Rattus norvegicus: one gene and its partners. The protein of the gene in region 2 binds, or shares a complex with, the protein of the main gene of each other region. Links are inferred from orthologs where the notes say so. Each region holds a gene or a part of one and is shown on either strand. Other genes may lie near its edges.

Evidence for each region. The genes of interacting proteins can lie anywhere in the genome.
Region 1: Stx7 (region 2) and Bet1l share a complex: the UniProt entries of both Homo sapiens proteins name them as parts of the SNARE complex. The link is inferred for Rattus norvegicus from reciprocal best matches to the Homo sapiens genes STX7 and BET1L.
Region 3: Stx7 (region 2) and Vti1b share a complex: the UniProt entries of both Homo sapiens proteins name them as parts of the SNARE complex. The link is inferred for Rattus norvegicus from reciprocal best matches to the Homo sapiens genes STX7 and VTI1B.

The regions. Positions count from the first base shown.
Region 1 is NC_086019.1:205,361,780-205,366,236, reverse strand, and holds the start of Bet1l (BET1-like protein), read left to right. Parts: upstream 1-1,530; 5' UTR 1,531-1,689; intron 1,690-2,334; 5' UTR 2,335-2,444; coding exon 2,445-2,463; intron 2,464-3,512; coding exon 3,513-3,604; intron 3,605-3,828; coding exon 3,829-3,885; intron 3,886-4,026; coding exon 4,027-4,194; 3' UTR 4,195-4,457. Other genes in the region: Ric8a (synembryn-A), read right to left, coding at 111-701, 791-838, 1,127-1,210. UniProt on the Homo sapiens protein: Vesicle SNARE required for targeting and fusion of retrograde transport vesicles with the Golgi complex. Required for the integrity of the Golgi complex.
Region 2 is NC_086019.1:23,053,583-23,058,198, forward strand, and holds the start of Stx7 (syntaxin-7), read right to left. Parts: upstream 2,884-4,616; 5' UTR 2,853-2,883; exon of another isoform or gene 2,847-2,852; intron 2,591-2,846; exon of another isoform or gene 2,545-2,590; intron 1-2,544. UniProt on the Homo sapiens protein: May be involved in protein trafficking from the plasma membrane to the early endosome (EE) as well as in homotypic fusion of endocytic organelles. Mediates the endocytic trafficking from early endosomes to late endosomes and lysosomes.
Region 3 is NC_086024.1:103,706,561-103,711,086, reverse strand, and holds the start of Vti1b (vesicle transport through interaction with t-SNAREs homolog 1B), read left to right. Parts: upstream 1-1,599; 5' UTR 1,600-1,922; coding exon 1,923-2,037; intron 2,038-2,562; exon of another isoform or gene 2,563-2,645; intron 2,646-4,526. UniProt on the Homo sapiens protein: V-SNARE that mediates vesicle transport pathways through interactions with t-SNAREs on the target membrane. These interactions are proposed to mediate aspects of the specificity of vesicle trafficking and to promote fusion of the lipid bilayers.

The DNA of each region.
Region 1 (4,457 bases), about 180 Mb from region 2:
TAGTCCTTGCCATATCCGACACCCTGCAACTTGAGGCACACAGGGAAGCAAACCCACAAAATGCCCCAGCTGAGCTGAGTCCCACCCATTGACTTCAGACTACAACCTACCTCATCAACCTCCCTCTTAACAGAGTCGTAGGTGATGTTAAAGAGCACTTTGAGGATTTCCATGGCCCGCTCTGTCTCTTGGGCTGGAAGTATCACCAGAGGGTTTTCTTTGGGGGCCACACCCAATGTCAGTTCCAGCGCATCGGTCAGCAGGCGCACGCCATGCAGCTCCTGAAACAGCTGCTGGCGCACATCAGTGCGAAGGGCTGTTAGCAGGAAAAGGAGCCTTAAGTCAAAGAACTGGACTTCGTGGGGATAGCTCCTTTTGCGGTACAGTCCCACACGTTCCGCTAGCCTCACCACCAGTCGAGCCTCTGCTGCTAGCATCTGTGCTGTAGGACTGCTGAGCACAAGATTACACAGGCATTTGAGAGACTCGAGGAGGACATCCATGTCTGGGGGCTGTGGGATGGGCTCCTCTGAGATGGCAATGTCGGCATAGCAGGCTAGTGCGTGTAAACTCTGGCGGCTAGCAAATGAGTCCAGGCAGCTGCGGTCTCGGGATAGGATTCGGATAGTCTGCAGCCAGGTGACACGGTGTTTTGGTGACAAGCCCTGCTCCAGTACGGAGACCAGCAGCTTTGCGAGTCTCTGTGGGAAGGGACAAAAATGGTTCCACTAGGCCCTCTTCTTGGGGCAGCCCGTGCTTGCCCTAGGAACCCCCTTGGGCTGACACCTACCTTCCTGTCCTCCTGCTGTGCATCATCGAAGGTGAAGCTCTGGGAATGCTGCAGGGAGACCCAGGAAGCTCAGTTCCACACGCAGGTAGGACCTGTGCTCCTCGAGAAGCAGCAGGTCTGCTTCTACCTCTGAAGCAGCAGCCATCGCTGTGTACGTAAAGCAAGGCCCACCCTCGCCACCCATACACCTGACTACCACAGAGGCACCGCCGTGGCCCAGCCCACCACCCACCGCCCTGCTCCCTGCCACACTCGCACGCACACCCCAGCCGAGTGGCGAGCAACCGGCTGCTTCCTCACTTCCTGCAATTTCCTCGGCAGCTGGATGCCTCTCACCTCTCGGTTAAACGACCGCAGAGCTTCTGTCACCGCATCTTCCTCTCCCGTCTCCAAGGCATCCGCAACTGCCCGGGGCTCCATGGCCCCTGGCACGGGGTGCTAGAAGACTTGGGCTGGGAAGACGCAATCGGCCAAACCCGGGGACTCCGCCCAGGTCCGGAAGCCCAGCGTCCACGCGTGAGGAATGCTGGGAGAACAGCCGAGCCTAGGGTGTGTACAGGCGCGGGGCTGGCCTCCGGCTTAAGGTGGAGCAACCCGGCTGTGGCCGCTGAGCGGCTTGTCTTGGAGCAGCGATGCTAGCTAACTAAGCAGTATCCTCCTTTTGAGCCCTTCTCTCTAGCCCGACTTCCTGGCGGGCGGGGGTGGGGAGTGGGGTGTGGCTTGGCCGGCGCGTAAACCTTTCTCCTTACACTCTTGTTCCCGTACTGTGATAAAAGAGGGAGCGCCGGCTCCTGGCCGCTTAGTCAGTTGGGGAAGACGATTCTCGCGGTCATCTTCCTGATGCTCATCTTCCACGGGAAATAAGGAAAGAGAAGTACGACTTGGATGGTCAAAATAATGTACGTGGTTAGCCGGGCATAGTAACGCACGCTTTTTTAAATTTCAGCACTCGAGAGGCAGAAACGGGCAGACCTATCTAAAAACAATCAAAAAACCAAACCACCAAAATAATGTGGTTATCAAAAGAAAAGGGCAATTGCAGAGTGTATGAGGAAGGATCGGAGAGAAGGAAGTGAAGAACACCGGTGGAAAAGCGACTCCCGCGGGAGGAGCAACGGAGGGGCGGCTAGCCGCGGCGTGTCTGGGGTTAGAAGCGTAGGAACGTTGTATAGTGGGGAGCCAGGTCTGCATGCCACTTAGCTTAAGGCAGAGTCGGTGCACCCCACGGTGACACAAGCAATGTTCCAGAGGATAATGCCGCCCGCTGTGCTAACCGGCGCTTGCCTCTACTCAGTGTCAGGTCCTTTGCCAGTCTCTTTCGCTTCTGCTCGTCCTCCCCATCCTGTCGTTCTCACTTGGGGACTTTGCAGCGCCCGAGGTACCCGACCCTCGGCTCCAGGTTGGGGTCTGAGCTCCTGCTCCGGGTAATACCCACAGCGCGGGACTAATACTGCTGACCAATCCGTAGGCCCGAATGCTGGCGGCCCGCCCTTCCCTTATTTACATTCCAGTGTAGAACTACAAGTCTGTTTCTTCCGCTTCAGACTCTTCTCCCGGAAGTTATTAGACCTGAGGCGGAACCGGAAGACCCAGGTAGTGGTGCCACGTCCGTCGCTGTGTTGCCTACTCCCCGAGTGGGACCTCGGAAGGCGCGATGGCAGATTGGACTCGAGGTGAGCGCACCTGAAGGTAGTTGGGATAGGAGGCAAGGTCTAAGTCTGGAGTACGAGCCATCAATTTTTCCTCGGTGGAGGGATCTGCGTGGGATGGCGCTTACGTATTCCAGGAAAAACAGGGCCAGATTTCAACTGGCACTGCCTTGGAACCCAAGCCGGCATGACATCAGTTTGTGTGTATGGTTGATGCCAAGGGCTGGAAGCAGAAGGTCCAAGCAGGGACTTACAGGGCTCAAGTGCCTCGTTTCACACACACCCTCCGCCCCCGTGCCTGTGTTCAGTCTGACAGTTGTGATACTGAGGCTTCTACTATACTAACTATGTAGTGGTTGGTAGGACACAGCCGTCTGTCTTTTAGAGTCTGGTCGCCCCTGTTTGCTGGTGCTGCTGGCTTTCCCCTTAGGTGGGTCATATCGAGGCTGGATTTTTATGCTTCAGACCAGTGCCAGTCACACTTAGGCAGGTGATTCTCAACTACATACCGTGACAGAAATTCTTCATGTCTAGTCTCTGTCCGTCGGAGTAAGGTTTCCACAGGAGAGTGCTCTGGGGCTTCTAGAGATCCTGTGTGGGTTGTAGCAGTAGGGATTGGTAGTTTCTACAGTAAAAGGCCTTTCTTACACTTACCTTGGACTTGATTCCTAAGTCATCCCCACACAGCCTTCCTGTCACCTGCTTTGTTGTTCTGTTCTGTTTTCCCTATAATCCCTACCAGATTGAGACCTGTCCCATACTCTCAGATGGTGATTTCAGCTAAGGCAATATTCATTTTGGTCCAGGAACAGTATACAACAGGGTAGTGTAGATTGACCTGCTGGTTCCCTGTCTCTGCCTGGGCATTGCACACAAGTACTCCCATGACCCATGCTTCCTGTCTGGTGTGTAGGTGGTCTACCTGTTGGAACATAGGGTGGAACATGCTAAGTGAGCAGAAGGATATGGGTGGAATGCCCTTAGAGGTCTCACCAGGCCAGGCTCCACTGGAGCAAGGAGCCAAGGACCACATTTATGAGTGAATTCTACCCTTCAGCCTCTTTGTCTTGCAGCTCAGAGTTCTGGTGCTGTGGAGGAGATTCTAGACAGAGAGAACAAGCGGATGGCTGACAGCCTGGCCTCTAAGGTCACCAGGCTTAAATCGGTTAGTGGTGGCCCTTTTCCCTTCCATGAGACACTTTGGTGAGTGGGGCTGAGTGGGTAGAAAGGAAGCCATGCTGTCCGTGGGTGTGCTGACTGAGGAATGCTTCAGGTAATACCTTGGCCTTTTTAGCTTTTTCTAGTAATAGGTACCTAGCAGAATCTGAAGGGAAGATGGGCACTGCACTCTGTGTCCTTGCTTGACTGTGCCTTCTGTATCCCAACCAGCTGGCTTTGGACATCGACAGGGACACGGAAGACCAGAACCGATACCTAGATGGCATGGTAAGTGCCTGTATTACGTACAAATCATAGTCAGCTCTACCCCCATGCCGCCTGCTCTTCTGCCTCTAACCCTTCAGCGCTAGTACAGTTGGGCCGTCACAGATCCCAGCTCTATGTGATCCCGTTGGGTCTCTCCCGCAGGACTCAGATTTCACAAGTGTGACTGGCCTACTCACAGGGAGTGTGAAGCGCTTTTCCACGGTGGCACGGTCTGGGCGAGACAACCGGAAGCTTCTGTGTGGTATGGCTGTGGTCTTAATTGTGGCCTTCTTCATCCTCTCCTACCTCTTGTCGAGGACAAGGACGTGAGCCAGTGGGAGCCAAGGGCAGCCAGACTCTTGTCCACCTGGTATCCTGGCTTCCTAAGGACCTGACTACAGAAACAATATTCCTTTGAAATTATCATCACGGGTCATTCGTCTTCCTAAGTCAGGACGACTGCGGCTGCCTCTGTCGTAACGAGCTCCTCTTGGCTTGTCCTGTGTATGAAGGAAGAAGAAAAAGGCAAAACCCAGTGCTACTCCCTGGTGCTAAAGACACTGGCAGAGTCAGAGCCATGTTGTATGAGAATG
Region 2 (4,616 bases):
TCTCACAGTAAATCTGGGAGCTCATATTGTCGCAAACGCTAGACTAAACCCTAGTGCTTTCTGTAGAACAACTTAGCACAGGTGGACCAGGTCAACTACACGACCACGCTTGACACGTTTCTGCGGCCCGGGGGTAGTTTCTTTACAACAAGGAAACAAACTTGGACGGTGGTAACACCACTGAGCAGTACTCTCCCTTTCTGTCCTGTTCGGCTATGGTGACATTTTAAAAGAGACAAGTTGGCTCTTTAGATGTAAGACAAGTTAAGTGGGACAATGGCTAACTTTGCTGGAAAAAAAAATAAACATATAAATTCATGAATAATTATCGATAGATGACTCTGAGGTCTATTTTTCCAAGTGAGCTGATTGATTCTGTGTTTGTAAAGTGCCTGTGCTCTATAACCATCTGCAGGACGTAGCCTGAGCTGCAATGCCCAAAATTATTCTGTGTTGAAAACCTATTTGGAATTCCTTTCGCTCAAAATAATTATGTAGCTCTTCACCGCGCACCTGCACTTCCTGCAGACCAGCTGCTACTGACAGGCACTGTTAAAGTGAATTAAGGTAGATGAAAGCCACCCAGGCTACCTTTCAAGTGCTTGGAAACTAGATGGGGCCAGTAGCCAGTGGCTGGAACAGCTCACATATTCACTTCTCTCCCCGCAGAAAGCTCAATTGGCCAGCGTTCAACTCAACTTCTCAGTAATTATCTTTTTATGAAGATATACAAACACTGAGGTGAAAGAGGAGAGGCGGGGGCCAAACTGTAACACCCACGGTAAGGGCTGTCTCAAGATCGTGTCGAAAGTACAATCTAAAAACAAGCGAAGGGGATTTCGTTATAGATTCTTGAATGTAAAACACTACCCCGGAGTTACTCCTGGACATACCATCGTAGACTCTTAAAGGCTTCCGCTGAGCAGAGAACTGGCCTGAAATGTAGCCTGTTGAAATCGAATGGCCAGTTTCGCTTTTTAAATCATGAGTACCAGCATAAAACTATGAGCTTCCTCCCCCTTTACTCCCCTGGGTTTGTATTTGTGTGTGTGTGTGTGGTGAGTGCTGTACGGGGAGTATAAATCTTGGACAAAGTCTAGTCCCTAGTACTTGGTCTTGAATAAGTGTCTGAAGTGTGAATCAACAAGTGTACCCATATCCCAAGAACACATGCCCAGCCTGAGAGTAAATATTAACATTTCTAAAACACTGTTTCAGGTTTATTGCCACCTGGGCTTTTCTGGTGTCCCTTTTCTGTCTCTAGATGACCCTTCCCATGACACCCGCCCACCTAGTTCTTTCTCCCTGCAAGGTGTTATCACACACCAGAGACGCCGGATCTGAAATGAGCAGTCTCCACTACGGCTCTGTCAGTGTAACTTCTACTTCGAGCCATGCATCATCCTCAGGAGGTTGGACCACTCACACTTTGTTCTCAAGTCCTGACACAAGCAGGAGAGGAGTCATAGGACCCAATCAATGAACACGAGGGTGCTCCAACTCTCAGATGAGGATTCATCCACGAACTACTCAAGTGCGTCTTCACCCAGCTCCTTCATGGATCCAACCATTGTGCTACACTGTCTGCTTTCAGTTAATTCACCAAGCATTCTTTTTCTCCAGTTTCACACATTAATATTTCGAGTTACACTGAACCAGAGCAAAATTCACTCAGACTAAAGGGTGGGAGTTTTACCTAGTAGGACTATCAGACACTGCAGAAATATTACCTTGCAGTACTGGGGACTGAACCAGGGTTTTGTGCACACACCATTTAGTGGCATATAGTTCAACATTATTCAAAATTTTCCACCAGCACCATATGGATGCATTTGGGATCCTAATCAGAATTAGAAATGACTGCTAATCGGGAGCAGCATAAAAAGTGAGCTCGCTGAAGGGAAAGCACCCAGAGGTCAATGAGTTAATACTGTGTTATATTAACTTCCCCAGACGCTGGGAAACTACAGCCTTATTCTTAGCAAGTCACAAGCCCAGGGCCAACTTCCAAAGCAGCTTGCAAATCCGAAGGCCCATCCCCACCTCGATACAATTTAACAGTTTTATCAATCTCTGCACAGCACAGCTCAGGTACACCTAAAGGAATGCCTACCTTCAACCGGACCAAACCAGTGTTCCACAGTTACTTCCTTTTTTTTCCTGATTGTGGAAAACTTGTAAATAATAATTCCTAACAGAATACGAGATCTAAAGCAACCAAAAATAATATATGCATATAAAATTCAAGCATAATTTTTAAAAACTATAAGGAAAAAATTACCATTTGACTATAAAGCATCCTCTCCCAACATTTTTTCTCTCTCATTCTTTCTTCTTTTCTCCTCCCCCTCCCTCTCCCTCTCCCCCTCTCTCTTTTGTCTGAATTTAACCTACAAAACACATATGGGAATTCTCAAAATACTTTGTTAAGGGTCTTGGTGGGTAAATCAATTAAAGACGTGCACAAGGTAGGTCAGAGAAAGTTAGCTTGTGTGAGTAGGGCCAACAGCCAAGCAAGCAAATGCTCTGGGCCACAGAACGAACCTGTGGCCGGATGACCAGGGCCCATCGCGTTTCCCTTTCTGTCTTTCTGGAGGGGAAGTTGACAGAAAATGAAAACACGGTTGTTGCCTGCCAGGATCTGGCGGCAGGTCAGGTCCCCGAGGCTCCATTGCCGCGCGCTTGGGTGCTCGTTCCCGAGTCCGCCTCGGGGCGTGGGAGCCCGAGAGGAAGGCGCTGGCCCTGCGCCCTAGGGAGCCCCGCTCTGCGCACCCCAAACCAACCACCGGCGAGCAGTGGTTCTGGAGTGTCCCTTCCGCGCCCCCGCCTCTGCAGTCTCCTCTTACCCTGACCTCGTTGGCTTCCTCTGTCACCTCCAGCTGCTGTCACCGAGGGCCCACGGCCCTGCGCAGCCAGTCTCAGCGAATGGGCGGTGGCGCAAGCACTCCCAATGCGCATGCGCAGGGCCAAAGCCCCAGGAAGAAGGAGGCGGGGCTCGCGTCTCTCCCATTGGCCAGTGACAGCTGAAGCTTGGAGGGACTGGCAAAATTCCTAGGGAACCAAGCTTTGATGGGTGACAAAGTGATGTCTACATGCAAGAAAAGAGGAAGAAATCCAATAGAGGAGAGCTGCGTTCTTTATTCGGTGGCGCCATCCTTCCTGGATTGAGGGTGCACCCTCAGCTCCTGAAGGTCCTGTTTCCTAACCCTCAGCTCTGTGGCAGACTTGACAACTCCATTTTAAAATGTCACTGCAAAAATGTCAAGGCAATCCTAGCTAAGCCCACGCAAAGAATAAATGAAGACTCACCTCCCGATGCCCACTTGGTAAGGGTGTTTCTTGGCTCATGATGGGTCTTTCGTCCTTGAAATACAGGATGCGGTTTTCCCAGGCTTTAAGAGCACAGACTGTTCCAACAATAACTCTTTAAACATGTGACTCTCAGATGAGAAACATCAGTGGTTCAGGTAAAAGAAATACTTTTCCAAATTAATTAGACGATCTTGCCTTGGCCTTTGCCTGTAATTAAGACAGTGTTATTTCTGGAAAGAATATGAAAACGCATGATACCAAAAGTGCAGTCGAATTCAGGTGGAGGCTGGGGGTGGGGGTAGGGGGTGGGGGTGGGGTGGTAGTGGTGGTAGTTCCAGACTATTGTGAGTCAGAACCGCAGAGCAAACTGTACGTTGGTTGGTTTTACACATGCAAGCATACATCGGTGATTTAAGTCTGACTCAAACACCGCATCTTCCAAGTAGGATCCACAGTGGACTAAGCACACTGGTCAAAGGATGTGCGTCCATTTAAAGTGTGATGTGATACAGCTAGAGCCATTGTGAACTGTAGGGTTTTGCTGCTTTTTTCCGGCACTGGAAACTGAACCAAGGTCATTGACCATGAGAAGCCCATGCCTTCCCTGTGTCCTGTATCACCAGAGGTTTTTGGTTTTGAAACAAAGTCTCTATAGGTTGCCCAGACTAACCTTGAACTCACTGTGTAGCCCAGGTAGGCCTTGAACTTGCAACCCTCTTTCCTCATCGTTCAGAGTACAGGCCTGTCCCAGGTTGTTTGTGGTTCTGTTTGGAGGTACTAGGGATCAAACCCAAGGCCTCACATTTCAGGTAGTTGATCCACCCCTGAGTTCTACCTGTCGTCTCCACTGTGAACTTATAGAAATATTAGCCCATCATAGTGACATTATATGTTTCCTAAGATACAGAGGAAATTCAGGTTTTTCTTTGAAATCAATCCTTTTGTCAAACTTGTTATATTTTTAAAAATCACAAGGCAAAAACCTCTGCAATAAAAAGTCATGTTAGCTGTTAAAGCTACAGAGTCTTTTTAGAAAGTCTAGTTGTTTCCTCATAATACAGATTCAGGAACCTGAAACACAAAACACTTCCAGGCCCCATACATAATTAAGAATAGCAAAGGCTGGGTTGGGGATTTAGCTCAGTGGTAGAGCGCTTGCCTAGCAAGCGCAAGGCCCTGGGTTCTGTCCCCAGCTCCGAAAAAAAAGAAAAAAAAGAAAAAAAAAAAAAAAGAATAGCAAAGGCTTGAGTGTCCTGCCCAAAACTCTGAAGTCCTTCGTGCCACCGAATCCAGACAGCTGCTAA
Region 3 (4,526 bases), on a different chromosome or scaffold from region 2:
AGTTCCAGATTATAACTGTAAGAAAGGAAAGTCCGATTGTAGTTTTAAAAAAAAACAAAAACCACTTCTAGTTCTGCAGCTGTTTCCCATTCTATTGGGGGCACGTGTCCCAGAATCATTACAGCGCACCTACAACACGCACACATGCCATTAAGTTGGGTTGTGACCATCAGACCAACCATCAAAGCATTTCCTACTTACATGCCCCGACTAAGCGACAGAGAAATATAAGACTTGAGGCTGAAGAGATTCACAGTTCTTAGGATCACATACAACTCTTACAGGGCACGCCAGGCAGCTCTTCTTCAACTCCAGCTCCAGAAGATCCGACGCCCTCTTCTGGGCTCCACAGGCAGAGCACTTGGCCCTGTTAATTTTATATTTTGCTTTTGAGGTAGGGTTTCTCTGTGTGGCCCTGGCTGTCCTGAAAGTGCTTTGTAGACCAGGCTGGCCTTGAACTCAGTGATCCATCTGCCTCTCTCTGCCTTCCAAGTGCTGGGATTAAAATCAAGCAACACCACTCTTGGCCTATCTTTGAATTTTATGAGAAAAATATAAGAGTTTGCACCACTGCTAACAACATCAGACTTTATCTTTGCACAATGCATTTTACAATTTTTTTCATTGAATTTAATGGTCAATGGATTCAAGCTTGTAAACCTAGGGCCTCAAAGACAAAAATCACCAGTAACCCACTTTACCATATACCTTGGAAGATGGATTACAGGATTTGCTTATGTTAGATAAGTGTACCCTCAGCTACATCCTCAGCCATATGTGTGTGTGTGTGTGTGTGTGTGTGTGTGTGTGTGTGTGTGTATTTCCATGTATAAATACTGAGCTCCCACGCAAACTTTTGAGAGTAGGCTCTTTGTGTAAACCCTGCCAACAGTATACATAGGAATTTATACCTATGAAAGAACAGAGAAGACTTCATAATTGTTAATATGTTTTATGTAAGGGCAGATAAGACATGCTAAGACGGGGCTGGGGATTTAGCTCAGTGGTAGAGCGCTTACCTAGGAAGCGCAAGGCCCTGAGTTCCGTCCCCAGCTCCGGAAAAAAAAAAGAACCAAAAAAAAAAAGAGAGAGAGAGAGAGACATGGTAAGACGGGTCTGTTTTCCACACCAAATCATACATTACTCAAGGGCAAAGGCAAAGATATTTTGATCAATATTTAACTTATCAAAATGGCTATTCTTAACCTGTTGTGAATGAGAACCCGGCGCAGCCTAATGGACTGGACTGGCTCAGCCCCTAAAAGCTTTGTGTATTCTGGGAGCACAGTGCTCATTTTCCTGTTCTGAAAGCATGTGACCCTGGCCACTTAATCTCCCCAGTTATAGAGCTTTACCATCCGAGAAGAGCAGGGCAAGCCTCTGCTCTTCTATCTATCTAGGGCTGAGACTGAACTGAAGTCAGGTGGCAGAATGAAGTGCAATGACAGCTAGGCACTTGTGCTATCCAGTCGCTGCGCAACAGGGCTGGCACTCCAGGCCCTCCCTGCACAGCCGCCCTTCCTCACTTAACTACAACCCCCAGCATGCACTGCAGGACCGGCGGGCCCGAATGAGGCGTCCGAGGCGCCCGTCCCGCGGGCTCCCTTGGGCTCTTCGCTTTGGTACCTCCCCTGTGCCCACTGCCTGTCTCCAGGTTGGAGACAGCAGCTCGCCTTGGCGCCAGGCCGCGCCCCTATAGTAGCCGGGTGTCGTCCTCGCCTGGCTTTCTGTCAGGCTTTGGCGCTCGCACAGTGACAACAGGGGGGAGGGCGTCCGGCTCGGAGGACCCCGGAAACGCCTGATTCCGGGAGGCCGAGGTGCGGCAGCGGTGATGGCTTTGGGGCCGGGTAGCTGATTCCTGAGGTGGGAGTGGGCCCAGCGCCCGGAGTCTCAGTGGCCGCAGCTCACGAGCAACCTGCACTATGGCCACTTCCGCCGCCTCCTCCGAGCATTTCGAGAAGCTGCACGAGATCTTCCGCGGCCTCCTTGAAGATCTACAAGGGGTGCCGGAGCGGCTGCTGGGAACCGCGGGGACCGGTGAGGCGGGGGCGGGACCAGACCGGTAGAACTCCGCAGGGTGCGGGATCCCAAACGCAATCCCGGGCTCCCGGCTTCCAACTCGGGCACGCCCCCTGCTGCTGTCCAGCCCCGGGCGCCCAGGATCTGCAGCCTCTTGTGACTGGGGGCGTGCAATGGGATCGACATTAGGATGTCGTCTCCTAGCGAGCCTCCCACGTCCTAGCCCCCAAATTCTTAGTTCTCCTCCTCTCCCAGCAGCATAGGGCGTTCTTAAATCTACGGTCCTGTGTTTCGTTAAGACGACTTTTTTATATATAAAAAAAAAAGAAACTTAGTTTGGGGTTGGGGATGTAGGAATTTGGTTGGTAGGCAATGAAAATTTAAAAATAGTTGTAAAGCTTATAGGTAAGACAGTGGTGGGAGGTGAGGGGAGTAAAACAGCCACTTAAAGAGGAACCTGAATGTCTCACATTAAGATTTTTGACGTAATAGGGTAAATCAGTAAGGAACATAAGCAGCTGAGTAATGTGGATTTCATTTTAGAAGCAAGGCGGCGGATAGCTGGATAGAGGATGTGAGAATGGCTATAAGAGACTGTGTTAGGAGCTTCCGTGACAGTTGACTAGGTAAGCATGGGAATCTGGAGAGTGAGCATTAAATCTAACAGGTGGTTCCGAGGCAGAGATTTATGAGATTGGTGGATATGAGTAGGAAGAAAGATTGAAGAGGGTCCGTGTTTTCTCACGTGATCAGTTGAGTGAATGAACTTAAATAAGAGGCGCAAACTCGTTTGAGCTGTAGATGAGAATGTCTACCTGTAGATTAGAGATAACAGTGTGTTCTGTACCAAGCATGACAAAATATTTTTCTGCCATTAAAAACATTATGAAGAATTTATTAATCTAGTAAATACAGTAAAAATTAAGAGATTAACAGTAGTGAACACTTTTAATCTCAGCACTTGGGAGGTACAAATAGGAGAATCTCTGTGAGATCAAGGCCAGCCTGGTGTACACAGCAACACAGAGATTTCCAGACCAGCTAGATTTTACATCTTGAGACTCTATTTAAAAAGAGAGAGATTCTAGAGCCAGAAGTTATATATACCTTTTATTAGTTATGTGATCTTGCAAGTTATTTTAACCAAACTAGTTTCTACTATAAAGTAAAACATAGCATCTAACTGAATGGGGTTTTTGAGTAAATGAGATATGTAAAGCTCTTTAAAATTACTGTCTGACAATAGTAAGAGCTACCAGCTATTATTAATATGTTTGCTATTTTATTTAGAAATATTAGCTCTCTATACAGTTATTCTTAGGATGCCCATTTCATTTGTTTGTTTTTGCTTTTTGGGTTTGTGTTTGTTTTCCAAGACAAGGTTTCTCTTGTGTATACCAGGCTGGCCTCAAACTCAGAGATCCTCCTGCCTCTGCCTCCCAAGTGAGAGCCAGTAAACTGGAAATGAAATAGTATTTTTGCTTGCTTGTTTAGCATATGACCTAAACTCCCAGGAACAGTACCCAGCACATCCTAGGTATCTGATAAATATTTGCTAGATATGTCTGGGGTGGTGGTGCATGCCTTTAGTCCTAGCACTTGGGAGGCAGAGGCAGGAAATCTCAGTGAGTTCAAGGCCAGCCTAGAGTATACAGTGAGACTCTGTTTCAAAAAAAAAAAAAATACTACATATTGTATTTGTTAAATTACTGTAAAAACCATTTTTGGTTGTTAAAGGTACTATGAGTTCTTAGAAGAAAATAGCTGGGTATCGAAGCAGAATAATTTATTTCTCTCCCTTTTATTCACATTCATTACTCTTCAAATTGATGTGTACACTGGTTAAAACACCCAAAGTGAAAGAGAGACTTATTTCCTCAAGGTATAGTCTGTATTCTCGTGGCCCTGGAGGGATCGCTGCCACAGTGTGTCCTAATCTAGGAGGTTTGTGGCAGTAACAGTCTTACCATGTATGGAAATCATTAGACTTTTATAGTCTTCATCACCTACATCTGGTATCTCTTATCTTGACATTGCATCTTCTGAAGAGATTTCTCAAAAGCCTCAGAAGTGATAGAATTTTGTCATCTGATTAATATGTTAAGTGCTTATGGTTATTGTTTTAAGTTTTGGTTTTGTGGTACCTGTAGACATGTGTCCTTATAATAAGGTTATTGACAGTTTTCCATTTTAGTTTGCGTGAAGTCCAGTATGGATGCCTGAGACCTCAGTTTTGTTGTTGTTGTTGTGTGTGTGTGTGTAGCTTAGAGGAGGTCATCTTATGCTTTCTTGTTCCACTGCATGGCTCCTAGGTCATCAGTCTGCGGCAGTTTACCTGGTAAGTCAGCCAGCCAGCCCTGAGACGCTGTGTTTTTAGAGCTAGGAAGGAAACGTGAAGCGCCATGCAAGTCAGGCTGGTATGAACTGTGTTTTGCTCCAGGTCTATGGATTTGATTTGAGAATCAATGGTAGTTCCTAATATTTGAAAGTTCACAGTGTCTGGTGCT